Linked DNA regions of Sus scrofa. The protein of the gene in region 4 interacts with the protein of the main gene of each other region in a pairwise test. Links are inferred from orthologs where the notes say so. Each region holds a gene or a part of one and is shown on either strand. Other genes may lie near its edges. The genes, in order: SFR1, FAM81B, SGF29, RINT1, RIBC1, FAM110A and EPC1.

Region 1 (4,110 bases), on a different chromosome or scaffold from region 4:
CATATGTAGCATAACAACTAATGAGTGTTTCCTACTGCTGTTCACCCTGTCATGAGTTCTCACTTAATTCTCCAGTATCTAGGTTGATACTATTATCCCCACTTTATGGATGAAAAAACTGAGGCACAGAGACACTACATTACAAAGAACACAAAATAATGGTGTTGAGATTTGAACCTAGGCAACTGGACTCCAACATTTACATCCCTAACACTGCATTATATCGTCTTCAGGATCTGTATTTATATTCCACTGTTCAGGACACCTTAAATTCCTACCGGGTACTGGCTACTTCTAAACCATTATTATTTTAGTGAAACACAGTATCAACGTTTAAATTGGCCATTCGCTAGGATTCAAAACATTGGATCCTTAAAATTTCCAACTTCCACGTGACTCAGAAATTACTCAACTGTCTTCTCCTAAACCTAGTGCTCCACCCAATTTAATTAACTTTGTTGTTGCGCAGCATCAGAACGGCAGCACACAGGAAAGGATTATTTTAGATTAAGGATACTGCTGCCCAGCATTCAGCGAGGGCAAACTTCTGGACCAATACAATCTTATTCAGCGATTGCTGGGCTTCCTGTGTTGCACCACGACAAATTTTCCTTGGACTACATTTTTTTTTTTTTTCCTCTCTCTCAGATTTGACTTAACAATTTGAAGCCAAGCTAAAGAATCTAAATGTTGTGGTAGATTCAGCAGAGAACTCATGGACGTGCCGCCGAGTTTGCGGCAGCAAAGGCTAAAAATTAGCTCAACTGCATCCGCTCTCAGATTTCTAACCTGTTTGACTCTCAAAAGGCCATTTAAGCCAGCGCTGCTCTTTTGTGGTCTCGCCTTCGGAGTTTACAAGCTGTAAATTTAACACAGCCGGCCCCACGTCTCTGGGTCCCGTGCAGCGTGAAGAAAGGCCTTTGCTGTGGAGAGCGCGGAGACGAGACAGACGCCGGCCAGATGAGGGCAAGCATTCTTAGGCGTCCTTCTCAAACACACAAAACCCAGGAAGCAGGAAAGGAAGGCAGTGCAAGGAAACAGTAGGGAGGAGAAGCCGCGCAGAGAAACCGCCCCCTTCTCGAGAACAGTCTGCCATTTAAAAGCTCAGCCCGGCGCGCGCCTGACGCCCGCGGAGGCTCACGGCCGCGCGCGCGCACAGTCCCGAGCCTCCCGGGCGCTGGGCGGAGCAGAGCCGCGCGCGTCGGTCAACTCAGCCAATCATGTATCTCTGCCCCCCCCCGCCCCCGCTTGGCCCCGCCTCGCCCCGCCACCAAGCGAGGCTCGGGGCCGCGCGCGCGCAGTCGCGACACTCCGGAACGCGAGGCAAAGCCAAATTGCGCGCGTCGGTCGGCCTGGCCAATCGCGCGTCTCTTTGGCCTCCCGCGTGGTCCCGCCTCCGAGACGCTTTGGCCAGGGCTGCGGCCGCGCCCGCTTGCCTCGCAGCGTGGGGATGGCGGCGGGAGGTAGGGTCCAGGGCGCCGAGTGGGTCTCTGTTTAGGAGTTGACTGGGGAATGGAGCTGCGCTCCCTCTGCGCGGCGTGGGAACCTCTCAGCTCCACCTCAGGCCTGGGGGCTCGAGGCTCGAGTTGGTTTTCTGCATTGGCGGGCGGGGAGGGAGTTCGCCTCCCTCTGGTAGTTTGCTTGGTGAAGTTGATGGCGTTTGTTTAAGAAACAAACTTCTGTAGACTCTCCCTTTCAGTATCTCTTCGCCATTAATGGAAAACAATGCAGACAGGAGTGAATTAGTCTGTGCTTATGCTCCTTGTTCCTCAGGCCTGGAGCGTCGGTCATTGGTTCTAGTCACACAACTTTGATGATTAGGGTAGTGTGACTGGTCTGATTATGTGTTTTTGAGTCAAGACTTAATTTATGCTCCCTTTCATTGTGAAGCTGGCGTAATGAAATTGGCGAAATTAAAGAATTCCTGACTGTACAAAGTTGTTATTCTCCCTACCCTCCACGTGGCAGATTTTGAGGACTTCATCAATAAGAACAAGTGGAGAGTTGTTTCTATAAGAAGCTAGCGGGTTAACTTGTCTGAAAAAACTAGTAGTCACCATATGGACCAACACTATCTGGTTTAGGAAGGTAAATGGAAAACTGCAGAAGGATCAAGAATGAATCACAACTAAATGAAAAGGGAAGTTGTGGGCTTACTTGTGGATGTTACACACAACAGTAAAAAAAAATTACTTGATAAAAATTGAGGAATGTAGAGGTATGGGTTCATTTGATTTCCATTATTGCTTTTTTAGAAGTAAACCAAGATTTCAAGATGGGAAGTCCAGACTCAGCTGTGATTTTACCTAGCACTCCACAAGCCGGTGCCAATCCACCATCTCCCCCTACAAGTAGTACAAGAAAACAAGTATGAAAATCTAATATTTTCTAATTTTATATTTCTAAGTATTGTGTCACGGGTGGTTTTAAGTCTATTGAAGATTGTTAACAATGTGTAGACTAATAAGTAAAAATTTTCTTAGCAAAAATTTTTAAGTCATTCCCCTAAGGTAATGTATTGGACACCCTCCTCCCTGCTCCCGCCCAAGTTTTCATCATGAATCAATAATTTTCATTTAGTTTCAGTTCAGGTTATTACAATATTCTAAACAGGAAGTTTGAATCTGTGAGGTCATAAAGGTCTTTGGTAGAAAAATCTAGGTCTTTTCCTTAATTTGTAAGTCTGAAGCACCTAGAATAGTGTCATGCGTGGGCTAGTTACTGAATAAATGTTTGTGATTACTGGGATAAGTGTCTCCACACTGTTTTAGAAGGGGGCTGACTTTGCTAAAATAAAAAAATAAAATTTAGTCGAGCTTCCAGAAATTGGACATTGCGTGATGGTTACTTTAGATATATGGAGACAGAAAGCCATCTAGTGGTTCTGCTATAGAAATGTAAAGTCTTGATTTTTAGTGGATTTATTTATGTCAAGAATTTTTTCTTGGAGTTCCCTTCTGGCACAGCAGGTTAAAGATCCAGTGTTGTCACTACAGCAGCTCAGGTTGCTGCTGTGGCACAGGCTCGATCCCTGGCATGGGAACTTATACAGGTGGTGGGTGCAGCCTTTAAAAAAAAAAACGGAGGTTTTTCTTGATTAATAGTATCAATGTTTGATGTCTTTTTCAGCCTATGAGTGCAACCCTTAGAGAAAGGTTAAGGAAAACTAGATCTTCATTTAATTCCTGTTATAGTGTGGTAAAACGACTTAAAGTTGAGAGTGAAGAAAATGATCAGACTTTTTCAGAGAAACCAGCATCTTCAGCAGAAGAAAAAAACTGTTTGGAATTTCAAGAAAATTTTAAACACATAGACAGTGAATTTGAAGAAAGTCCATATTCGAAAAATACCTTCAAGAATATCAGTGCATGTGAATCTAATTCATTTGATACTGAATCATGCAGAGATCTCCAAGATGATTTTATGAACGAGAATCTTCCTAAACAAGGATTAAACAAAGAAAAAGCAAAATTGGTGAAGCAGATTCAGGAGAAAGAAGACCTTCTTCGAAGGCTAAAACTAGTCAAAATGTATAGATCAAAGGTGAGAATTTCAGAACCATTGCCTAATTATTTTTTGATTTTTTGATAAATGGTAGGAAAGCACTTCATAAAGTTTATTTTAGCGTAATAAGCTAAGAAACCTGGCTTCCAACAACTTTAACTCAAATATAAGTCATAGATTTAGAGTAGAAGAGGCCTCTAAACAGCAGGTACAACTTTTGGAAAGTTCCAGCCCTCATTTAGTATGCAGTGGAAGCTTTTCTCTCTAGTTTCCAGCTCACAACAGTATTAGAGGTTTCAGATGTTAGCTGCAGGTTGCAATGAGAACAGAAGTGACAGCTGACAGGGAATGAGTTAAAAATCTAAAAATGGGCCACAGAGTATAATAAAAAGTATTCTTAGTAGTGATCTTGCATTATTCCAAATTATTAAAATGTTCCAAGTATTCAAGAAAATAACAAATATATATTAGATTTTAGATTTCAACTCAGATAGCTGAAGTAAACAGAACTTGAGCACTTGGAAGAAGATGACCCTTATTTACCTGGATCATTCATGTATATTGAAATTGTTCCTTCTTCCTCAACAATGTAGAATAGGTGATGGA
Region 2 (3,500 bases), on a different chromosome or scaffold from region 4:
CAGTAGGTTGAGGGGTCAGAGTTCTAACCAAAACCCTCCGCAACCATAGCCACCCGCTCCCAGACACTGGTGTGCTGGTCTCCCTTGGCACTCTATAAAATGACAGAGTGGTGTAGTGAGCATTTTAGAGTGCTTGCAAAGCATGAAATACTGTACCTCTAAGTTTTAAGGGCTTAGCTTACCACTAGAAGACATAACTTTGAAGCAAAATCAGGAGTGCTTTTTCCTGTGGGATCAAAATTTGTCATTCAGCATCCTGAACACCCTGCGTATCCTCTGAGAAAGGCAAACTCAGTACCATAATTTCAAAAGTAACTCAGCCGAAAACATCATTTCTGTATATAAGCGCCAAGTAGTATTAGAACAATATGCAAATTATAATTTTAAAACTCAGGAAAATATTTCAGAGCTGAAACAATTCAATCTTTTTGAAACAAGCCAAACGAATGAAGCAAATTTCTTCTGTGAGCCTCAAGTTCACCCACCCACCTGCCCTAGCTGCATTCTTTGTGATACTCCACTTAGTGGCCTAGAAGAGTTAGCTGCCTTCACTCATGCTTGGAGGAATATGGGAAGTACGGCAGCCTCTCATTTTCTTTGTCTAATTTGAGGGAAACTGGTCTCTAATCAAACTGTGAAGGTGAAATCAGTGGAAAGGTATAAAATGGTATAAAAATAACCATTTCCTCACCCAGTGAGACAGTGAGGTGAAGGACCTAGTGGTTTTTACAAAAATGAACATTAAGGAAAACACTTGAAGCTCCTAATCCAGGGACCCACAGACCTAAAGTATGAGAGCCAACCTCATTGACATCACAGATCCTTCCTGCAGTCACAATGCTGCTGGGCCATGCCAGGAAGATGCCCCAGGAACAAGAAGACTTTAGTCAGGATGCGATCAAGTTTCCTTAGTACTTTGGCTTTCCGAGAGAGAAAATTTTAAACATCTCTACTCCCTATCCAAAAAATCCAATCGACAAAAAATAAAGTCAGGAAGTCAAGCATCATGAGTTCAGGTATTTATCTCATGGATTATTCAAGATCTCTAAATCTCTCATACTTTGCTATCCTACATATATTTATTATTACATAAAAACAAGGTAATAAATCCCAAAGAAGACCCTTGAATGGCTCAGGCACAGTAGAGTGAAAAATCACTTCCTGTTGTTTTAGAACAGTTTGATCTAAATGAGTGCCTCTCCACAAATTTCCTAAGCTATTCTAGCTGACTGTACATGTCTTGGGGACTTGGGAGAGAATTAAGGTGGGAGGAGGGTAAAAGCAAATCGGAAGCTTCCCCTTAAACTTCATTGTTATGTACAGCAACTTCCCTCAATTAAAAAATATTTAAAAATTGCCCGCACTGCAAAAATTCGCTTGCCATAGTTCCTGATCTGATTCAGCATTCTGGTTGCCTAGATACAGATGTAAACAAAAGTGCCTCCCTGACTGCTGAGGAACAGCCAGATGAACCTGATGGCCCCCTTCCTGGCTCAGCCAGTGACCAAGAAAAGAAAGCAAGTACTTTTACATATTCGTATTAAAAATAGAATATTTTGCTCAACTTCTTCAGAGCTTAATATTGCTTAGAGAATTCTAAGGAGTCCTAGAAGTGTTGTTTTTCTTTTCACTCTCCCACATTTCCTGTTTGTTCTGCTTTGATAAAGTGACTGTTGCCAGCTCAAGCTGGGAAGGAAAAGGATCTCATTTTGTGAATACTGGACTGACTTTTAACATGTGGGGCTAAAAATTAACAAAAAAATTGATGATTATTTATTTTGTGAAAATTCAAAGGAACTATGATAAACGCAAAGTGTAGATGTTATCTCTGATATGAAAAAGAGAATAGCTAAATAGAATTTTTATTGGTATGTCCTTGTGATATCTTCCCCATTAATTAAAAAGAACATTCAAAGCAGCAGTGTTTTCAGCCTTTGCTTTGTAATTCTCGAACACCTGAGCAGCAGGCACAGCCTCTTGTGGCAGGAGGAGCACCGGGAAGTTAGCCCTATGTCAAGCACTATTTTTGGTATCTATTAGCTGAGCCACATGTTGGCTATGTGACTTTGGGCACTTAAGCTCTGTTTCCTCTTCCGTGAAATAGGCAAATTAGGCTACCATACAAAGATATGGCATTTGAATGAGCCACAGAGGCCAAAAGGACAGAGGAAGGACTCAGTCTGATTATTACCATCATCTGTATGATCTTAAGCAAGTTCCTTGCTTCCCCAATCCTGAGATTCGTCACCCATAAAAACAATCATCTTAGGTTCTTTCTGCAATAAAAAGGGATTTCAGGGAGTTCCCGTTGTGGCACAGCAGAAATGAATCTGACTAGTATCCATGAAGATGTGGGTTCAATCCCCGGCCTCGCTCAGTGGGTGGGGGATCTGGCTTTGCCGTGAGCTATGGTGTAGGTGGCAGATGTGGCTCGGATTCTGCATTGCTGTGGCTGTGGTGTAGGCCAGCAGCTGCAGCTCCAATTCAACCCCTAGCCTGGGAACTTCCATATGTGGAGGGTGTGGCCCTAAAAAGAAAAAAAAAAAAGGAGGATTTCAGTTATATAAGTTAACGATTTTTATCCATAAGTTAAAGGTAATGATTCTTACTTTCCAGGGCTATTTCAAGAATGAAATCACATCATGCATGTGAAAGTATTTTATAGTCCATTATACCATAAAGCATTGTTATGAAACTGATGAAAATTAACACATGTAAAATGTCCCATAATAATCAAGAAGTTGTTTGTGAGACAATTTTGATATAATTACTTTTAGAGTGTAGGTATAGGGATGAAATAGCTGACTCATACTCAGCAAAATTATGAAAATTTAGTCTAAAATACATTAAATAAAATTTACATTTAAAAAATTGCACAGGAAAGAGGAAATAAATGTGCCACAAGGTTAACAGCTTTTGCTCTAGATAGTAGAATTATAAATGAGAATTTTTTTCTGTATCTTCTACTTTTCTATATTTTTCCAAATTTTCCTCAATTGTCAGGTTTAACATTTGTTACCTTAAAAGCATGAGAGTTCCCATGGTGGCTCAGTGGGCTGAGAGCCTGAATGATGCTGGCTGGCTCGATCTGTGGCCTCGCTCAGTGTGTTAAGGATCCTGTGTTGCTGCAAGCTGAAGCATAGGTCGCAGATGCAGCTCCAATCCAGTGTTGCCATGGCTGTGGTGTAGACCGCAGCTGCAGCTCCAATTCCACCCCTAGCCCAGGAACTTCCATATGCCGCAGGTGCAGCCTTAAAAAAAAAAAAAAAAAGAAAAAAAAAAAGAAAAAAAGTATGTGGGTTATGGTTGTGCTTTTAAGAGGATGCTATTTATTTATAGTCTTCCAAACAAGACTTTAAAATGAACAAAATAAAATAAAACATATATATCCAATTGTTTCGCTTTAGAAGGAGAAAGGAAGACAATAAGCTGGTAACCTACTGACCTTGCACACAATATTCATTATATTCTTTCATTCCACAAGTACTCACAAAGGACTA
Region 3 (4,258 bases), on a different chromosome or scaffold from region 4:
ACGCCAGATTGGAGGCGCGTCTGTGACCTACACCACAGCTCACGGCAACGCCAGATCCTTAACCCAGTGAGCGAGGCCAGGGATAGAGCCAGCAACCTCATGGTTCCTAGTCGGATTCATTTCCGCTGCGCCACGACAGGAGCTCCTGTTGCTCTGATTTGACCCCTAGCCTGGGAATTTCCACATGCCGTGGGTGCAGCCCTAAATAGCAAAAAAAAAAAAAAAAAAAAAAAAAAGAAAGAAAGAAAAAGAAAAAAGATTAATCCAGTGATACATGTTAACTGATACATAGTTATTGCAGGAAACTTCAGAAATTAAAGATAAATTCAAACAAACAAAAAAATTGAGCCCCAGGAGTTCCCTCTTGTTCAGTGGGTTAAGGATCCAGTGTTGTCACTGCTATGCCTCAGGTTACAGCTGTGGTGCAGGTTGGATCCCTGGCTGGGAAACTTCCACATGCCATGGCACAGACACCCCCGCCCCAAAACGAGCCCCAAATCTCCCTTGAGGAGAAAATAAAATTGACATTTGCCATTCAGGAGAAATAGCTTCTGAGACTTCATTTTTTTAAAAAATTTTATTTTATGGCTTCTCCCGCGGCACATGGATGTTCCCAGGCTAGGGGTCCAATTGGAGCTACAGCTGCTGACCTACACCACAGCCACAGCAACACAGGATCAGAGCCGCTACACCACAGCTCATGGCAATGCCTGACCCTTAACCCACTGAGCAAGGCCAGGGATCAAACCTGTGTCTTCACAGATGCTAGTCAGATTAATTTCAGCTGCGCCACTACGGGAACTCCTGAGACTTCAATAAACACGAAAATGCGAACTCCTTGCTTCTGTAAACCCCATAAAACGCAGGATATAGAACTGAGACTGGGTAGATGGTCATGCAACTTACTGAGAGACCACAGAAAGAAGAGTAAGTTTGATGGTAAAAAATGTTGCATTAAGTTTTGGGCTGAAATGGTTTGTGTTGAAGTCTAAGACTCTAATATGAATTTTAAAAAATAGAACGCTTATTATATACCAGCCACTATGGGTGTATATAGGTGAATAAAACAGTGGATCCTAACCTCCCTGAGCAGGCAAGTGTACCAAACAAACGTAAAATTTGGTATGGGTTATGTAAGAGATTACAAGATACTAGGATGTAAACCGTTGTGGTTAAACATTTGCTCACAATGACAATATGTTCCTGACAATACTCTCTAAAAGAATGATATCTGGGTTTACAGATCTGCTTATTTCTATTTATTTTTAACATTTTTTAAATGAACTTTAATTTTTGAAGCAGTTTTAGCTTTCCAGCAAAATTGAAGGAACAAGTACAGAGTTCTCATATGCCCACTGCTCCCCCTTCAATCAACAATCTGCTCGTTTAAAAATTTTTTTATTGTTTCATCGAGGTTTTGGTAATAGGAGTGGATACTGAAAACACGCTCTGGTTGGTTAAAACAAGGTTCAGCTGAAGAGGCGGAAACTCTGTGTCCAAGTAAAAACTACATTTCCCAAGGAGCAGCGCGGCACGGGAAGAGAGCGCACGCGTAGAGAGGAAGACAGCGCACGCGTAGAGAGGGTCTCGCGCTGCTCATAAAAGGGAAAAAGCGTGCGTGGTTCTTGAGCCGCCGCGAATCTTCGAACGTGAGCGCGTTGTTATCCGCAGACTCTGAAAGGCATTCGAGGGAAGACGCGCCTGCTCCCGCCGTCGCAGTTTCCAGCGCGACTTGCTTATTCCACCCGTGGTTCTGTAGGTGGGTATACGTCGTGGTCTGAGGCACTGCTTGGCTCCCCGCACCCCCGCTCGGAGAATGGCGGGAGCGGAGGGCCGGGGGGTCCCTGTTCTCGGGCGTCGCTGAGGCAGCTCTTGAGAGGCAGTGCGCACGCGCCCTGGACCGGGAGAGGCGGGGCGCTGGGAGGGAGGGCTGGCGCCGACCTTCTCTGGTAACTGACTGCGCCTGCGCTCGCCGGCTGGAAGAGGGTGGGAAGCCGCTGCACGTGGAGCTTGGCTCCGTGGCTGGGAGGGGTGGGTACGCACCCCAGGTGCGAGAGAACAAGGGCAGAGGATGGGGCCCGCACTTTGGCAGCTTTCATTATTTGCTGAAGGTGTGCTTAGTTTAACAACCTCATTCTTCATATTCCTCCAGGTGCTTTCTATTTCACTGCAGCCAAAACTTCATTCTCTACTCATTAGCCCCTTTTCTCCTTCAAACACACTCCAGTAAGGCCTTGGCTCTCACCCCTCCACTGAAATGGAAATGCGTGCTTCATTTGCTATGCGGAACATTCTCGTCTTCAGCTTCAGCTCTTTCTGGTTTCTCCTCTGCTGATTCTTGCTCTAACTTACCCTCAGTGGTTGGTTGTACTGCCCCACAGCCTCATCTTTGATCTCTTTTCTGTGCTGTTTCCTAGGCTTTAAATACTCTCTCTTTTTTTTTTTTTTTTGTCTTTTTGCCATTTCTTGGGCCGCTCCCGTGGCATATGGAGGTTCCCAGGCTAGCGGTCTAATCAGAGCTGTAGCCACCGGTCTACGCCAGAGCCACAGCAAACGTGGGATCCGAGCCGCGTCTTCGACCTACACCACAGCTCACGGCAACGCCGGATCCTTCACCCACTGAGCAAGGGCAGGGACTGAACCGGCAATTTCATGGTTCCTAGTCGGTTTTGTTAACCACTGAGCTACGGCGGGAGCTCCTAAATACCATCTCTTGTGTTTAACTCTCAAATTCTTGTCCTCAACTCATTGCTCTACCTGAAATTTTGAGTTTTACCATTCACCTTCTTCAGTTTTCCAATTTTTCAAACACCTTGAGTTATACTAGATGTCTTTTGCTTCCCCTCTGTCCTCTTTCTCCATCAGTCAGTACATGTTTATCTGTTTATATACTTGTTTATGTGGCCACACCCACAGCATTCCTAAGTTCCCAGGCCAGGGATCAAATCTGAGCTGCAACTGCCAGCTAAACAGGATCTTTTAACTCATGGCTCTGGGCTGGAGATAGAACCAGCACCTTGGCAGCAACCTGAGCTGCTGCAGTCAGATTATTGTTTATTTATTTGCTTTTTAGGGCAGCAGGTGTGTCATATGAAAGTTCCTGGACTAGGGATCAAATTGCAATTTCAGGTGCCAGCCTATGCCACAGCCCATGGCAATGCCAGATCCTTAACCCATTGAGCAAGGCTAGGGATCAAACCTGAGTGCTCATGGATACTAGTCTTGTGTTGCCACTGAGCCACAAAGGGAGCTCCCTGTAGTCCGATTCTTAACCCACTGGGAACTCAGACAGTCTCTCTTCAGAGCATGTTAACAGGAACTGATTTGTTTTCCAGGATCAGGGAGAAGATACTGAACAGTCCAGCTTCAGAACTGTTGCAGTGTTTCTAAGTTCAAAGACCGTTTTAGGAGGCCTCCAGGGAGTACCCTGGTGGCCTAGTATTTAAGGAACTGGTACTGTCATTGCCGTGGCTCAGGTTGGATCCCTCTGCAGGTTACAAGTATGGTGTTAAAAAAAAAAAAATTTCCAGGATTCAGTTCAGTTCTGCACTTGCTTTTGAGGACTTAGTAGGTGCCAGGCCCTGTGCTAATTGCTGGGAATATAAAGATGAATAAAAGTGCATCTCTCTCTTTTCAGAGATCTTGGTGTGGCAGGAGAGACAAACAATATGGTAGTCTCTGGGTGCATGTGTGACAAATGCAGGAACAGATGTTTGTGTCCGGTGCTTTAGAAGTTTCTGGAAGTTCTGATTGCCCATGGCATCAGGGCAGATTAGAGGGGCCTGAGACAGCCACATCTCCCTGCCAGTTGTTTCTGGCTAGGAGCAGCTTTGTCCTTGTACCGTAGTATGCCATACAAATACTGTCGTGTTCTCTGTGTGCCCTGGTGTGGAAAAGCTTGGCAGGTAGTGCTGAAAAAGTGTGAATTTTGCTGCCATTTGATTTGGGCCCTGAAAAAATGAGTAAATTTGAGAGATCCAGAGGCAAAAATGGAGAAGGATCGAAGGGCAGACATAACTGAAACATACAGGTCTGCTTGTTTGAGGCAGGGGCCCTGAGTATTTCAATATGGGTATCGTAGGGTAAGGTCAGTAGAGAAGGCTGTTTGAGAGGTGCCATTCAGGATCTGAAGCAGTGCCTTGAGAGTGTTTTGTACACCTCAGTGTCCGTTTTTATGAATACCTCCCCCACCACAAGGCACCCTGTTCTCAGTGGGTAGGTCTATTAGCATCCATAGTTTTAGAGATTAACTTTCTGG
Region 4 (3,500 bases):
TATGGAAGTTCCCAGGCTAGGGGTCCAACTGGAGCTATAGCTGCCAGCCTACACCACAGCCACAGCAACACAGGATCCGAGCTGTGTTTTCGACCTACACCATAGCTCATGGCAACACCAGATCCTTAAATTCACTGAGTAAGGCCAGGGATTGAACCTGCAACCTCATGGACACTAGTTGGGTTTGTTAACCACTGAGCCACGATGCGAACTCCTGCCCTTTTTTTTTTTTTTTTTTTGATTGTTTGATTGCATCAGATTTATATGTGATTGCAAACTTGGATCAGTCATGTATCTCAGAACTCCTCACAGCCCTTCCACCCATCACCTGAAAGGAGACTAGTCCACGCCCCATGGGCATATACAGATAAACTCCGAACCCAGTGGTCCCATTTGACTTCTTGCTTTACTCTCTGCTCACAAATCCACTCTAGAAAAAAGAAATTTTAGTCAGTTTTAACTCAACAAAGATACGAGGTTTGTAGTTTTAGCAGCTGACAAAATAGTGTCTCCAGATTACTGTATATCTCAGGGGCACCGGCTGGTCGACTTATGCCAACAGTTTGAGACTGAGGGGGTGCAATGAATGGCCAATGAAGCTGTGCTAGAATTTCCTCAAAATCACTGTAACAGACAAGTGACATATACATTACAGTCAAATACGAGCCTCAAAAATCTGTCTGAAAGCAATGACCATGAAATATAGATAAACTCCTTGCCTTGTAAGCTTGTCCTTGAGAATCTTATGCCAGAATTTAACAGTGGCCCTCATGAAACCAAGAAGATGAGTACAGGATGATTCCTGAAGCTTGATGTCAAGCTCTGCCATAGACACCAGAGTAGAGGCTGCCTCTGGGACATTATTGGTCATCAGATATTGCTGAATGTTATCACTGCAAAACAAGGCAAAGCCAAATTGAAAAAGTTTGAGAGCACCTGTTTCAGCTCAGCAGGTTATGAACCTAACTAGTATCTAGGAGGATTCAGCTTTGATCTCAGGCCTCACTCAGTGGGTTAAGGATCTGGTGTTGTCGTGAGCTGTGGTGTAAGTCAAGTTGCAGTCTCGGCTCAGATCTGACATTGTTGTGGCTGTGGTGCAGGCCGGCAGCAACAGCTCCAATTGGACCACTAGCCTGGGAACCTCCATATGCCATGGGTACGGCCCTAAAAGAGACAAAAGACAAAAAAAAATCTTTAAAGCAAGCCAAATACAATATGTCTTCAGGACTAATTCAGCCCGGGACTACCATTTTGCATATTGACTCAATAACATGCAACATTTAAAAATGAAATGCTTTTTTTAAAATTACTCAATGAATTTTATTACATTTATAGCTGTACAACAATCATCGCAACACAACTTTATAACATTTCTATCCCAAACCCCAGGCACATCCTCCCACACCCCTGAAATGCTTCTGATTTAAAACAAAAAACAAAAAAAAATTTAACCTTCTCAGTTTAGAGGTCACCCCTACAGGAGATAGGAAATGTGTGCTCCCCTGCTGAGCAGCCTGTGTACCTTCCACCCAGGCTTGGCCACTGTGCTGGGAGGTGACGATGAGCTGGGACTCTGGTCCCTGGCTCAGTGTGCTGCTTCAGTTCCATTCCTGGGTGGGCACATCGTCCTCCTTAGGAACAGAAGTGTGTCTCGCCATCCCGCACAGCACCACCATGCATTAGTATTTTTTCCCTCTCCTTCCTCTACCAGCTGTTGCTGTTTTCTAGTCAGTGCCTCAGGCCTCAACAATCATACCGAGCTCATATTTGTATCATTTTGTCAGCTCTTTTGGCTTTCCCCTACGTACTCATTCTCTCATTTTTCTTTTTTCTCCTTTTCTAATCATTCTTATTAAGCCTTCCAACAGATTTTGTCTTTTACAGCTATCTCGAGAATTGAAAACACTTTCTTACCTCACTAGGCATCAACGAATGCAGTATTTCTGCAGGTAAGGCACTGGCAGGTCTTTGTGGGCCCTTTCCAACTGTCAGCATGCAGGCAAGTTACCTAAAAGCTTCTCACTGACTCAACCACTTCTAAGACGTATGACTCCTAACTAAGTGTTGCATTATGTTAAAACAAAGACTACCATGTTTAAGAAAAAAGAATTTAAAGTGCACAAGTAACCACAGGATTCAGGAGTACTGCATTCTAGGAGACAATGAAATACATCCTCACACAATAGTGAAGCGTGAATGACATGGGGCACAGGAAAAACCAGGGTAACAAGGTTTATTCACAGTCATACTGCTGTGCTGTAATAGTCAAGAAAAGGAGTTAAGGAGTTCCTGTCATGGTGCAGCAGAAACGAATCCGACTAAGAACCGTGAGGTTGAGGGTTAGATCCCTGGCCTTGCTCAGTGGGATAAGAATCCAGCACTGCCATGAGCTGTGGTGTAGGTCACAGACCCGGCTAGGATCCGAGTTGCTGTGGCTGTGGTGTAGACTGCAGGTACAGCTCCAATTAGACCTCTAGCCTGGGAACCTCCATATGCCGCAGGTGCAGCCCTAAAGAGCAAAAAAAAAAAAAAAAAAGAAAAGAAAAGAAAGAAACAGAGTTAATGTAAAGATGCTAGTTCTAGAAAGAAGAAATTACTTCAAAAAAGTTCCATGGGCTAAAAAACAGGTCACTTGAGGGAAATTAGAAAATAAGGAAAATCTCAGGAGCCCAAAGAAAGCTAGAAAGAGAGATGTATCATAAAAGACCCAGGGAAAGAACACTTTTTTTTTGCTTTTTTAGGGCCAAATCCCAGGCATATGGAAGTTCCAGGCTAGGGATCAAATTAGAGCTGCAGCTGCCAGCCTACACAGCCACAGCAACGCCAGATCCAAGCCACATCTGAGACCTACACCACAGCTCATGGCAACACTGGATCCTTAACCCACTGAGCAAGGCCAACGAGGAACCTGCATCCTCAAGGATACTACTTGGATTCATTTCTGCTACACCACAACAGGAACTCCAAGAACACATTATTAAAGACAAAGAGAAGTAACTCTACCCTACTTGATTATAAATTTGACTATTTCTAATATGATTCTTTGGGCATCAGGAGTTCCCTTCGTGGTGCAGCAGAAACGAATCCAACTAGGAACCATGAGGTTGTGGGTTCGATCCCTGGCCTTGCTCAGTGGGTTAAGGATCAGGTATTGCCATGAGCTGTGGTGTAGGTCACAGACATGGCTTGGATCTGGCGTTGCTGTGGCTCTGGCGTGGGCTGGCAGCTATAGCTCCAATTCAACCCCTACCCTGGGAACCTCCATATGCCTTGTGTGCAGCCCTAAAAAGACAAAAAAAAGTTTAAAAATTAAAAAAATAATGATTCTGACATCAGAAAAAGGCTATTTATAACTATAGCCTATTTCAATTAATTTATTACTTTGGCAACTACAACAGCAAGGCTTTTAAATAACTCATTTTACTTAATTAGATTATAAATATTGTCCCATATTGGGCAAGGAAAAATGAAGTAAAATAAACCAAGGTCTAAAATTCCTT
Region 5 (4,108 bases), on a different chromosome or scaffold from region 4:
TCTAATCGAAGCTACAGCTGCCGACCTATGCCACAGCCACAGCAATGTGAGATCCAAGCTGCATCTGTGACCTACACCACAGCTCACGGCAACACTGGATCCTTAACCCACTGAGCGAACCTGCAACCTCATGGATACTAGTCAGGTTTGTTAACCACTGAGCCATGACGGGAACTCCCCCTCCAGTCTATTAATACAGGAGCCAGAGTGATCCTCTAAAACTCAAAGACACACAAGGGTGTGGCACAGTGGGTTAAGGACCCATTGTCACTGCAGTGGCTCAGGACGCTGCTGTGGCATGGGTTTGACCCCTGGACTGGGAACTTCCACAAGTTTTAGGCACAGCCAGAAAAATCATATTGCCACGGCTTCTATTCCAGAATAGAAGCCGCAACCTTTACAATGGTCTACAAAGTTCTACATGCTCTGCACCGCCCCCCCTCCATCTCTCTAACGTCATGTCCTACATAATTCACTCACATACTTGCCTCCCTGCTATCCCCTTGAATGTGTTTCTCTCATATCCACCTTATGGCCTTTGCACTTGTTCCCTCTGCCTGGAGTGCTCTCCTCTTAGATATCTGCATAGGAGACTCCCTCACCTTCTTCAAGTATTTGCTCACAAACTGCCTTCTCAGTTATGCCTTCCCTGACTTCCATATTTAAAATTGCAACACTCCACCAATTTCCTTGGCACTTTCCAGTTCCCCTTATCCTGCTCTGTATTTTTTCCCAAAACACTTACTTTCTTACAAACTAATGTACTCTCTAGAGTCTGTCCGTCCTCACTAGAAAGTAATTCTCACAAGGACTCAGATTTCTTTTTTGCTTTTTGCCTTTTTTAGGGCTGCTCCCACGGCATATGGAGGTTCCCAGGCTAGGGGTCCAATCAGAGCTGTAGCCGCCAGCCTACACCACAGCCATAGCAACTCGGGATCTGAGCCACATCTGCGACCTACACCACAGCTCACAGCAACACCAGATCCTTAACTCACTGAGCAAGGCCAGGGATCGAACCCGAAACTTCATAGTTCCTAGTTGGATTCACTAACCACTGAGCCACGATGGGAATTCCCATGTTCTATTTCTTTTTTGTGTGTTTTCTTTCCCTTTTTTTTTTTTTTTTTTTTTTTGTCTTTTTAGGGCCGTACCAGCGGCATATGGAGGATCCCAGGCTAGGGGTCCAATCGGAGCTGTAGCTGCCGGCCTGCACCACAGCCACAGCAACGTGGGGTCCGAGCTGCGTCTGTGACCTATACCACAGCTCATGGCTACGCCGGATCCTTAACCCACTGAGCGAGGCCAGGGATTGAACCCGAAACTTCATGGTTCCTAGTCGGATTCGTTAACCACTGAGCCACGACGGGAACTCCCATGTTCTAATTCTTAAATTGAGGAGTTGGTTCATGCTCTTTTATCATACTTCCTAATTTGCATATGGCTTATATATAGTCTTCTGTATGTATCAACTATTTTAGTTACAAAATGGTTAAGAAAAAGAGAGAGACTGGAACTAGCTATAGAAGAAGCTGAGGAATGGCATTCCAAACAAAGGAAGGCAGTGTACAAAGGCCCAGATATGAAATATATCAGGAAATAAAATCAGTGGGAATCAGTAACTGGTGAGATACTGTGGGGAGAAAGGTGGGGTGTAGTTAAGGATGATGGATAGCACTGATTGGCCATTCACCTTACCCTTGCTCCAGATGTTTAAGACAGACCTGCCACCAGATCCCAAGGAGGCAGCAGCCATAGAGGCTAGAAGAAATCGAGAAAAGGAGCGACAGAGCCGATTCCTCAATGTGCGGACCAGAGTCATGGGGGTGAGTGGGTAGTGGGAACTTTCTCTGGAGCAGGGTCCTGCTCACTCTTACACCTGGAGAAGAACATAGCAGTGCCCGTCACAGCCTGTCACAGCCCATCACAGCCCCTCCCTGATTCAAGCAGACCCTAAGGCTGGAAAGGAAGGAAGAGGGGGAAAACGCACCCACACCCAGAGTGGGAAGGGCCTAGGGGTGCAGGGGAAGAAACTGGGAGAACAGGAGCCAGTGTCAGTGGACTCTCCTCCAGTTAGCTCCGGGCCAAGTGGCCTCGTTCCTGAAAGACAGACAAATGGAGCCAAAAGAAATCTAAGGACTGTTTGTGTTGCATTTGCCTAAACTCTGGAAGGCTGTATAAGAAACTGTTAACTGGCCTGAGGACAGAGATGGGAGGGGCACTTGCTCATCACTAAACGTATTCCCTTTTGCACTACTTTGAAACATTTTAAATGAATTCTAATCAAAATAGTGTTTTTGGTTTTTGGTTTTTTAGGGCCACACCTGCGGGATATGGAATTTACCAGGCTAGGGGTCCAATCAGACCTGCAGCTGGCGGCCTATGCCACAGCCACTGCAACACCAGATCTGAGCTACATCTGTGACCTACACCACAGTTCATGGCAACACGGGATCCTTAACCCACTAAGCAAGGCCAGGGATTGAACCTGAATCCTCATGGATACTAGTTAGGTTTGTTTCCACTGAGCCACAATGGGAACTCTGAGAAACTATTGATAGTTTAAGAAAAAACAAGAGTGCTGGGTAGGTAGGTGAGTGGTGTGACTGAGAGAAGTTGGCAAGTGTTTCCTCAGAGCCTACTCTGTGCCAAACACTGGGTTGGGCAGTAGGGATACACAGGTGACTAAGGCCCATTCTCTGACTTTAGCAGGCACACGGTCTGGTGTAGGAGATAACTTCTGGTGTAGGGAAACTTCAATATAATGTGGACAGTGGGTCCTTGATTCTATGGGAGTAGCACCTGCTGGAGGGGTCAGGACAGTGAAGCCAGAGCTGGTCTTGAGGGATGAATAGGAGTTCAGGGGTACCCTTCATGGGTAAAGAGGAGAGGAAAGAGTATTCTAAATGCAAGCAGCAGCTGGAGCAAAGGCTATTGGTTCAAAATAGCCTAAGATGTGCAGGGAACTGGATGCAGAGCTCCTGAAGGTGGGACAGGGGAAAAGGGAACCAGGACAAGGTGGAGACAGAAGCAGAGGCTAGACCATTGAGGGACTTACAAACCATGCTGTGATGGTGAACATCATCCAGTAGGTGTTGGTTATCCTACAGGAGGATTCTGCAGCAGGTAAATTCTGAGCAGTTTGTGTTAGAGCATGCAAGGCCCGCTGCTGGGCCCTTACCCTGATTTAGTTCATTTCTTTGGGATCAGGTGGACGTTGAAGCCCTGAACAGCCAGGTGGAAGAGCGAAAGCTTCAGGAGGCAACAGAGCAGAGCAAGAAAGCAGCTTATGGTAAAAGCCCAAGGGCAGAGGCCAACCAAGGGGGAAAACAAGGGCCTGAGTGGGTTAAAGGAGGGCAGTTCTGCCTCAGAGTGGGGCCTGAGGCCTGAGGTGTCTTGGGACAAACCAGATGGGCCTTTGGGAGCAGTGGCTATGCTGAGTGGGCTCTGTCCCTCCCATGGGGCCTTCTCCATGTCCTTGCCCACCACCCAGGTACTAACCAGGTGCAGTATGATGTGGTGGCTCAGATGCTAGAGAAAGAACAGGCAGAACGGACACGTCGGCTGGCCAAGAAAGTCCAAGAATTTCGGGAGCAGAAGCAGCAGCTCAAGAACAGGAGTGAGCTTGACCTTTGGGATCCACACCGACTCTGGAAGGAGTTTCCACCTCATCTCAGTAACAATGATCCATACTGTGGCCCAGCCAGCCTGCAGTACTTCTCCGGGGAGGACCTGAATAGATCCACACACCTGAGAATGCAGCAAGAGCAGTTCAGATATAGCCTGGAGAGGCAGCTTCAAGAACAACAGCAAGCCAGAATTGACTATAACTGTGCAGGTAAGCTGCAGGGCCATCCAGGTTACGACCTAAGGCCTAGCAAGGAGCTGTCCTGAGCTGGGTATAGCACCCAGAAAACCAGTATTGTGTTGGGAGGTCCAGTTACCCATAGGGCTGATGCTGAAAGGGTAAAGTGAGCAGGTCCCAACCACCCTGACTTCCTTCATCAATTGACAGTATAGCCATTGAGCCCCAATCAGCCTGGCACTCCATTACCTGGAGGCAGCAGAGAGACCACAGGCCTAATGGTTCTGCAACTTTCGCTGGTCTGGG
Region 6 (4,162 bases), on a different chromosome or scaffold from region 4:
GCTGGGCATCCTCTAGGGCCACGCGGGCCCCGTGCTATTTCTGGACTTCTCCCAGACACTCGTGCCCCAGCCTGCCTGGAGTCAGCTCTGCCCAGGGCAACCTTGCACAAACCTCAGAAAGAAGAGGTAAACAGGCTGCAGGAGGGGTGTGGGTGCCGCAGCCTAAGGCAACGATCTCCTGTTTGGCCCGCCGACCTCACACCTCTGCCCACTCAATCCTCTGGACGCCAGGTGTGCACCTGAGCTTGCAAGATGAGGACAAAGGGACTGGCAGCAGAGATACTGCCATGCAAAGCCTTTGGGAAGGGCCTGGCACACAGGATGAGGAAGGTGGGGTTGGGACTGACCCACAACCAAGCCCACTTCCTGTCCCAGGCTGCCCTCTGCCTGGGCCTGAGCTCACAATCATGGCCTTTTTTCTTGGCCCAGAGAAGTACAGAAACTTACCCAAAGTCACGAGCAAGTGACAGAACAGAGACAGGACAGTGGTCTCATGATTAGATCATCTATAATACATATATATATACATATATAATTTTTTTTTCCTTTTTATAGAGCCTCACCCACAGCGTGTGGAGGTTCCCAGGCTAGGGGTCCAATTGGAGCTACAGCTGCCAGCCTCTGCCACATCCACAGCCACACAGGATCCCGAGCCGCATCTGTGACCTACACCACAGCTCACGGCAACGCCAGATCCTTAACCCACTGAGCAAGGCCAGGGATCGAACCCACAACTTCATGATTCCTAGTCGGAGTCATTTCCACTGCGCCACAGTGGGAACTCCTATAAGACATATATGTTTTAACCCGGTGATATATGTATGTGGCTCAAAATTCAAAAGCTCTAAAGGGAATAAAGTTAAAAAAAAAAACCTCCCTCCCACTCCTGTCCCCAGTTTCCCTCCCTGCAGGCATCACTGCGACGAGATAGCTGCACGTCCTCCCAGTGAGATGTTAGTCACAAACAAACAATAATGGACATATAGTCTATTTTTTACACATATGGCAACAGCTCTCTGTACTGTTTTCATCTTGCTCTTTAACTCAGTTATATTGTTCTTAATATGTGTTATTAACATATTATCAATTATGTTATTAATTGTGCCACATCAGTACATAAAGAACCTGTCAGCCTCTAGCAACGGCCACCAAGTATGTGTGTCGTCTCTCTCTATTACAAACCACACTGCAGCCTCACTGCACCTCTGTCACTCCACCTAGAAGTGGGACAGCTAGGTCAGGAGGAAGCACCTGTAATTGCGACAGAGCTGGGGGGCTGTGCTGCATATCGACTGAACTCCCACCAGCAGAGCGCTCAGCAAATGATCAACAAATGTTAGCTCTAGTCATTTGATTACTGGGGTTTTAGGCACCCCTCAATTTTGCACTGGAGGTAACTACCTCACTTAGCCCAACCCCTCCCTGCGTCACATTCCAGTCAGAGAAGATAATAAACTTGCTAATAAGTGAAATTATAGGACATCAGCGCGGTAAATGCTACTGAGAAAAACAAAATAGAGAAGGGGGAGGGTGGGGCCATATGAAGTTGGTAAATATTTGTTAAAAGAATGAAGGAAAGACTTGTTTTCTTTCTGAGCTTCCAGAACTCCTCTCCCCCCCACCAAGGAGGTGGATTTGGAGGAGAGAGGGTAAGTAACTCCACTTAAAGAGATTCCAGACTTCCAGATGCCACCATTCTGAGTGTCTAGGAATCCAAGATTGAAGCCAGATAGACTGGGAGCCAGCCCCAGAGTTGCCAAGTCTGACCATATGACTTTGGGCAAGGGGCTTAACTTCTTAGACCCTCAGTTTCCCCACCTACAAAAGGACAGCAACAGCAGCAACCTGGGGGTGGGAGATAGGGGGTGGGGGTCCCCAGGAAACAGAGCCTGGTCAGATGCTCTACCAGGAGGGATCCCAGGCCCACCCCCAACTCCAAAGTCTCTGGTGACTAGTGTCTTTGGTTGAGGGGCTGCCTCTAGCCTTTCCCGCCGACCTGTGGTAGATTCCCAAGAATCCAACAACAACTGGAGAGCCAGAGCAGCCCCCCCTGGCACCTAGCCCAGAAATGTCAGTCCCACCAGAGCCTCTGAGAGGGACAGCACTTAATTCAGAGCCCCACAGGCAGAAAGATCCCAAGTGAGCCCAAAGTCCACCCCCTGGCTTTCTGGAGAAGTGAAGACAGATGTCCAGGAGGGGACCCCCCACCCCCACCCCGCAGGACGACACGGGAGAGGGACAGCCAGATGGGGCTCCAGCCAGGGCTCTACTGTCCATGTTCCTGTTGATAAGAGGCTAAGAAAGTGACCCATCTGAGCCTCTCAAGGCAGATCTATTTAGATCAACGTAGACTAGAGACTGAGGTATGGAGCAGAAAGACCTGTATCGGATTCTCTGCTAGACTAGGATACTGCCTCCCTGAGCCTCAGCGTTCTCATTTGTGAAATGGGGTACCACCTCCTCGCCGCAGGTACCACGCGGGGAGGACGCGCACAGCAGGCGCAGGGTGAACTGAGCACCCCCTAGACCCGGGCTGGCGCCCCGGGCCACCCGTGCCCTCACCTGGAGCCCGCGCTAGGCGAGTCCGGCTCCTCCAGTGCGGGTCTTGAGGAGGCTGACAGCTCGGACCCAGGCGGGGAACGGTCGCACACAACGCGTCTCGGGAGGCCCCAGCCCCGCGTAGGGAAGCACGGGAGGTCCTTCTGAGCTGCCCTCAACACCCGAGAGGAGGTAGGGGACTCGACTGTTCCAAGCCCCCACCAGAGTAAAGTTCTGGGGACGCAGGGGAAGGGGAAGTGAACGCGCCGCTCCCCCCTCCACCACACCGGAATGGTTTGCCCCGGACATCCTGATTGGTTTCTCGCTTCCGTTCGAACGCCGCGCCGCCCGCGTTGCCAGGCGACCACTCAGCTTCAGCCAGGAGGGTGAGCCCTGGCCGGCGGCACCGAGGTCCATCCCCGCCCCTCACCGCCTCTCACCTCCCCAGTGGCCTCTGGTTCTTGCCCTTGCTCAGCAGGGACTTACTCCCGGTTCCTAGTACTGACTTTCCAACTAACTCGCTCTGTGAGCCCGTGCACGCCCCTTTCCCTCTCTGTTCCCCAATCTGCAGAGTGAGTGGGTTAGTTTGAAGTAGCGTATATCCAGCACTCTCAATATTGACAAAGGAAATAACCGAATATATGAACAAGATTAATATAGCCCAGCTTTATTTACTGTAGCAAAATAACAGCAATAACTTCAGTGCTCAGTAAAAGGAGATTGGATATATAAATCCATCCTGCAGAAGAACTGAGTTTACAGAGCTTTTTACAAGTAATTTTTCATGACACAACTCTTGTCAGTGCTCATAGTTATAGGTACCTTTAACTATCCTCACTTTCTGATGAGAAATATTATGCAGTCATTTAGAATGACGTTAAAATATGGGGAAAGCACTAAGTCTTATATTTCTAAAAGTTGTGTCAAAGTACTATGTACAATGTAAATATGCATTAAATATGTAATTGTAATATCACATGGACTACATTTATGTATTAACATGTGCAATAGTTAATTTCTTCTTTTTGCTGATATGAATTTTCCAAGCTTCCAACAGTTAAACCAGTATAATTGTTTTCTTTTGGCTGCACCCTCAGCATGTGGAAGTTCCTGGGTCAGGGACTGAACCTGCATGACATTTGCAGCCTGTGCCACAGTTGCAGCAATGCCAAATCCTTAACCCACTGTGCCACAAGGGCACTTCCAAAAAACAAATTTTAAAAAGAGAATTAGAAAAATTAACTCAGCCCTTCCAGATGAGGGAATTTTTTAGCTGTGAGTCACTGTTTGGGTCTAGGGCATTGCTCATTTTGGAGTCAGACTGTTTTCCGTCCCAACTGGTGTTTTTCATTTTTTGATTGGATTGTCAGTGATTGAGCATTGACTGTGACATGCCTTGGGCAGGTGAGGGAAGAGGGCTAATAATGTAGCCCTAGCTAACCATGACTGTACTCTGGCATGGGCACAGCCAGCCATTTCAGGACTGGCTCTGACATCAACAGGAGACTGTGAGGACCAGCTAAATACAAAACCCAGCACTAACTGTGCCCTTGCTAGACTGTGCTCAAGGCCATACTCACAATGTCTCACTTGACTTCATAACCATCTGAGGAGAAAGATTCTA
Region 7 (3,500 bases), on a different chromosome or scaffold from region 4:
ACAGCAATGTGGGATCCAAGCCACATTCATAACCTACACCACAGCTCAGGGCAACACTGGATCCCTGACCCACTGAGCGACGCCAGGGATGGAACCTGAATCCTCACGGATACTATTCGGATTTGTTTCTGCTTCACCACAACAGAAACTCCGTTTTGTTTTAAAAAAAAATTTTTTTTTCACATTTACTTGAGTGTCTTTGTCTTTCTTTGCTTTTTTAATTTCCGTAATTTCTTCCTTCCCCACACAACCTCTCACACCAAGGCATCTATAGTGTGAAGGGCTTCATCAGGTTTAAACAAAGAAGTCCAGACAAGGCGATATCAAGGCTTGTGAATCCTGGAGCCTTTCCACTGGGAGTTAACTCAGTATACTAGTTATGTGACATTCCTTAGCCTATTTAATCCTTTTCCCCCAATGTCTCCCAGAACTCCTAGAACAATTTTGTGTAGTCTCCTTAACTTAATACAATTTATGTAATTATGGTTTACACTTGCCTTCATCTGCTGCCTTTTCTCAGAGTTCTATCTCTTAAGAATAGATATCTGAGGTTTACAATCTCAGGAAGAAAAGCAGATCCATTAGGCAACTATTAGTTATGCATTAAAAGCTATGGCTGAATAAGAAATAGGTATCAGGAGGTCCCGTTGTGGCACAGCAGAAACGAATCCACCTAGTAACCATGAGGTTGCAGGTTTGATCCCTGGCCTCGCTCAGTGGGTTAAGGATGCGGCATTGCTGTGCAATGTGGTATAGGTCGTAGACGCAGCTCGGATCCTGTGTGGCTGTGGCTGTGGCTGTGGTGTAGGTCGGCAGCTGTAGCTCCCGATTTGACCACTAGCCTGGGAACTTCCATATGCCATGGATGCGACCCTAAAAAAAAAGAAAGAAGAAAAAAGAAAAACAAAGAAACAGGTAGCCAGTATTTTAGTCCAAAAAATTGGTTAAGAACAGCAGGTGGGAACAAATGAGCTCTTTAGACAGATGACCTCACTTTAACTTGAGATCCCCTGACCCCGCCACCTAAAACATCCCCATTGCAAGAGTACAGACACCTCACCTTCCACCGCGCCCAACCCGTCTTCGTGCAAATCCAATGCACCTCGGGGGTACGGTCAGGGTGGTTAAGCAGTATCGGTATCGCACATCCCCCAATCCGCCATCGCCAGGACTAGTCCAAGGCCAGTTGCCAGTTTGGTCTAAGTGAGGCTTAAAAAGAAAAACCCCAATTATTTTTCTTGGTCAGCGAGAGGTAAACAGTCTGTCACTCGAGAAGAGAACTAGGAACTTACCGCATAGTACTGACAGCCTGCCTTCCGACGGAAAGCAAAGGGGCCATCGGGGTCATTCTCTTCCTCAGCTTCCGAAGAGCCAGACAAAACCTTTCAATGGAAGGAAGCCAGTCAGAACGTGTGCCTCCCATGTTACCGCCTGTGTCCGCAGAGAACCCTCGCCACTCACCTGGGACAGAGGCTCTTCATCCGAGCTGGGGAAGTCGTACTGATTCAGGTCTCTAGCGCTGAAGGGCGGCAGCGCGGCGGGGCTCGCCTGTTGAGGGGCAGCAGCAGCAGACGAAGGTAAGACTTTGGGCTTCTTTTCATATTTACGTTTAGGTCGGGTAAGATCGGCTTTATCTTGCTGCAATACAGTCAGGAATTAAACACTAGAAACCATGTTCAACAAACTGAAAGTTCTGGGGAAGTCTTAAAAATAAGTTCACTGCTAAAATGAAGGCCTTTCTACCATCAGAGACACAAGACCTTTACGTTTTGTCGTCTTACACTGTAAAGTCTCAGAGGCTGGTCTCTGTGAAAACATAAGTATGTTCCTACAACCTAAACATAATCATCAAGTACTGTTTCCATTAAAGTCAAAGTTCTCCAGCCTCTGAGATCTTGCAACTGCAATTAGTTTTTACCACTGGCTCTTGTATCTTTTTCTTAACTTCTATGAAAATGCTAGGGCAGAATTTTTCAAAAGGGATGCCTAGTCTTTAAAAAAGTAACAAATCAACCCTGGAAAAGCATTAATTAAAACAATTTTATATACACACAGAGCAAACTTCAGATAACTGTTAGCATAGTGAAAAATAAATTGATGATGCAAAAGTATTAAAAAAATAAAGAGTACATAGGTCACAACTGTGGCGAGGCTTCAATCCCTGGCTGGGGAACTTCTGCATGCTGTGGGGGCGACTCCCACCAACACCCCCAAAAGTCAAGAGTAGTAAGGACTTGCTGGCTCAACAACGAAAGCTTTTTGGAGTGAAAAATTGTGAGCAGTTTTAAAGGATAAAGATATGAAATCATCAGATAGGGAAATGCAGGGATAAAAGAGAGAGAGGCAAGAGTGATGGAGTGAGGATCACAGTGCCTATTACAAATGAGCATAGCAGGTGATGGCAGAGGCTGTGGGGGTACGAATTCCATGTGTAGGCAACAGGCAAGAAAGATTAGAGGCACAAATGATATTTCCTGGGAAGAAAAGAACATGGCAAGTATCATGGTTGTATAAATATGCTAAATATTTATGTCAAGTTTCATACAATTTATGGCATTAAGCTTTTTAAAGAAAAGTTAATTATTAAATGATGAAGTATTTCTCTTTATGATTTCTAGTGCTGTATCAACAGTCCAGTCTTAAATCAAAATCTGGTTTTAAGAGTAGGGTTTATATATATACATAAACATACATATTTCTTTTCCACTCTGATTTTTTTTTTTTTTTGCCATACCCAGGGCATGTGAAGTTCCTGGGCCAGGGACTGAACACTTGCCACAGCAGTAAAGCAGAGCCACAGCAATGACAACTTCAGATCCTTAACTGGCTGAGCTACCAGGGAACTCCTCATTTTGAATGTAACGATAAAACACCACTAACATTTTCAGCTATTATCAGAGCAATTTTTATCACCTTATTAACTTTAAACTCCTTCACATCCATGGCTTCCTGGTGTTTAAACTGACTGCTGTTGCTGATGGGGATGGTGGGGATGGTGTAAGTAGGTTTCATTGGCTGTCTCTGTGCCATAACCTCAGACATGATCTCTCCATTGTAGTCACCCAAATTATACCTGAAATTATAAAAAGAAAGTTTAAAAAGTTAGTTCTACACATACTTATCCTCATGACTACTAACAGCTAACTGAGGTATAACTGCAAACACTGATTAGCCTTAAGGTAAGATTACAGTTAAACCTTGACTATTTGCTGAATGCTTATTAAAACTACAGATGACATAATTCCTATCATTTCTTTCTTTTACTTTTTGGCTTACAGCTTTCTCTCACCATTAACAGATAACTGCAGGAAAAACCCAAAGGTTTAAATTTTAACACAGCAATTTTGGTGAAAGATTTGGGAGAGATGTTGAAATTCATGCCTAAAACAGTGCTGAGGAACTTTCTACTATTTTGAGTTGCCTCTGCTATAAAACTACTTTGGCTGAATGAATCGTAAGAATTTTTTTTTTTTTTTGGCTTAGGGCCACACTTGCAGCAC

What was found.
Region 1: the proteins of RINT1 (region 4) and SFR1 interact in binary tests that used the Homo sapiens proteins (3 or more experiments, as listed by UniProt). The two-hybrid records come from large-scale screens. The link is inferred for Sus scrofa from reciprocal best matches to the Homo sapiens genes RINT1 and SFR1.
Region 2: the proteins of RINT1 (region 4) and FAM81B interact in binary tests that used the Homo sapiens proteins (3 or more experiments, as listed by UniProt). The two-hybrid records come from large-scale screens. The link is inferred for Sus scrofa from reciprocal best matches to the Homo sapiens genes RINT1 and FAM81B.
Region 3: the proteins of RINT1 (region 4) and SGF29 interact in binary tests that used the Homo sapiens proteins (3 or more experiments, as listed by UniProt). The two-hybrid records come from large-scale screens. The link is inferred for Sus scrofa from reciprocal best matches to the Homo sapiens genes RINT1 and SGF29.
Region 5: the proteins of RINT1 (region 4) and RIBC1 interact in binary tests that used the Homo sapiens proteins (3 or more experiments, as listed by UniProt). The two-hybrid records come from large-scale screens. The link is inferred for Sus scrofa from reciprocal best matches to the Homo sapiens genes RINT1 and RIBC1.
Region 6: the proteins of RINT1 (region 4) and FAM110A interact in binary tests that used the Homo sapiens proteins (3 or more experiments, as listed by UniProt). The two-hybrid records come from large-scale screens. The link is inferred for Sus scrofa from reciprocal best matches to the Homo sapiens genes RINT1 and FAM110A.
Region 7: the proteins of RINT1 (region 4) and EPC1 interact in binary tests that used the Homo sapiens proteins (3 or more experiments, as listed by UniProt). The two-hybrid records come from large-scale screens. The link is inferred for Sus scrofa from reciprocal best matches to the Homo sapiens genes RINT1 and EPC1.

What each region holds. Positions count from the first base shown.
Region 1 is NC_010456.5:115,063,645-115,067,754, forward strand, and holds the start of SFR1 (swi5-dependent recombination DNA repair protein 1 homolog), read left to right. Parts: upstream 1-1,310; 5' UTR 1,311-1,450; coding exon 1,451-1,463; intron 1,464-2,255; coding exon 2,256-2,368; intron 2,369-3,129; coding exon 3,130-3,543; intron 3,544-4,110. UniProt on the Homo sapiens protein: Component of the SWI5-SFR1 complex, a complex required for double-strand break repair via homologous recombination. Acts as a transcriptional modulator for ESR1.
Region 2 is NC_010444.4:102,008,565-102,012,064, forward strand, and holds part of FAM81B (protein FAM81B), read left to right. Parts: intron 1-1,403; coding exon 1,404-1,517; intron 1,518-3,500.
Region 3 is NC_010445.4:18,385,131-18,389,388, reverse strand, and holds the start of SGF29 (SAGA-associated factor 29), read left to right. Parts: upstream 1-1,458; 5' UTR 1,459-1,759; intron 1,760-4,258. UniProt on the Homo sapiens protein: Chromatin reader component of some histone acetyltransferase (HAT) SAGA-type complexes like the TFTC-HAT, ATAC or STAGA complexes.
Region 4 is NC_010451.4:105,406,353-105,409,852, reverse strand, and holds part of RINT1 (RAD50-interacting protein 1), read right to left. Parts: intron 894-3,500; coding exon 720-893; intron 625-719; coding exon 475-624; intron 1-474. UniProt on the Homo sapiens protein: Involved in regulation of membrane traffic between the Golgi and the endoplasmic reticulum (ER); the function is proposed to depend on its association in the NRZ complex which is believed to play a role in SNARE assembly at the ER.
Region 5 is NC_010461.5:46,206,963-46,211,070, forward strand, and holds the start of RIBC1 (RIB43A-like with coiled-coils protein 1), read left to right. Parts: upstream 1-1,308; 5' UTR 1,309-1,661; coding exon 1,662-1,823; intron 1,824-3,207; coding exon 3,208-3,289; intron 3,290-3,490; coding exon 3,491-3,835; intron 3,836-4,108.
Region 6 is NC_010459.5:34,434,930-34,439,091, forward strand, and holds the start of FAM110A (protein FAM110A), read right to left. Parts: upstream 2,801-4,162; 5' UTR 2,563-2,800; exon of another isoform or gene 1-2,562.
Region 7 is NC_010452.4:42,850,023-42,853,522, forward strand, and holds part of EPC1 (enhancer of polycomb homolog 1), read right to left. Parts: intron 3,074-3,500; coding exon 2,914-3,073; intron 1,639-2,913; coding exon 1,462-1,638; intron 1,383-1,461; coding exon 1,293-1,382; intron 1,210-1,292; coding exon 1,061-1,209; intron 1-1,060. UniProt on the Homo sapiens protein: Component of the NuA4 histone acetyltransferase (HAT) complex, a multiprotein complex involved in transcriptional activation of select genes principally by acetylation of nucleosomal histones H4 and H2A.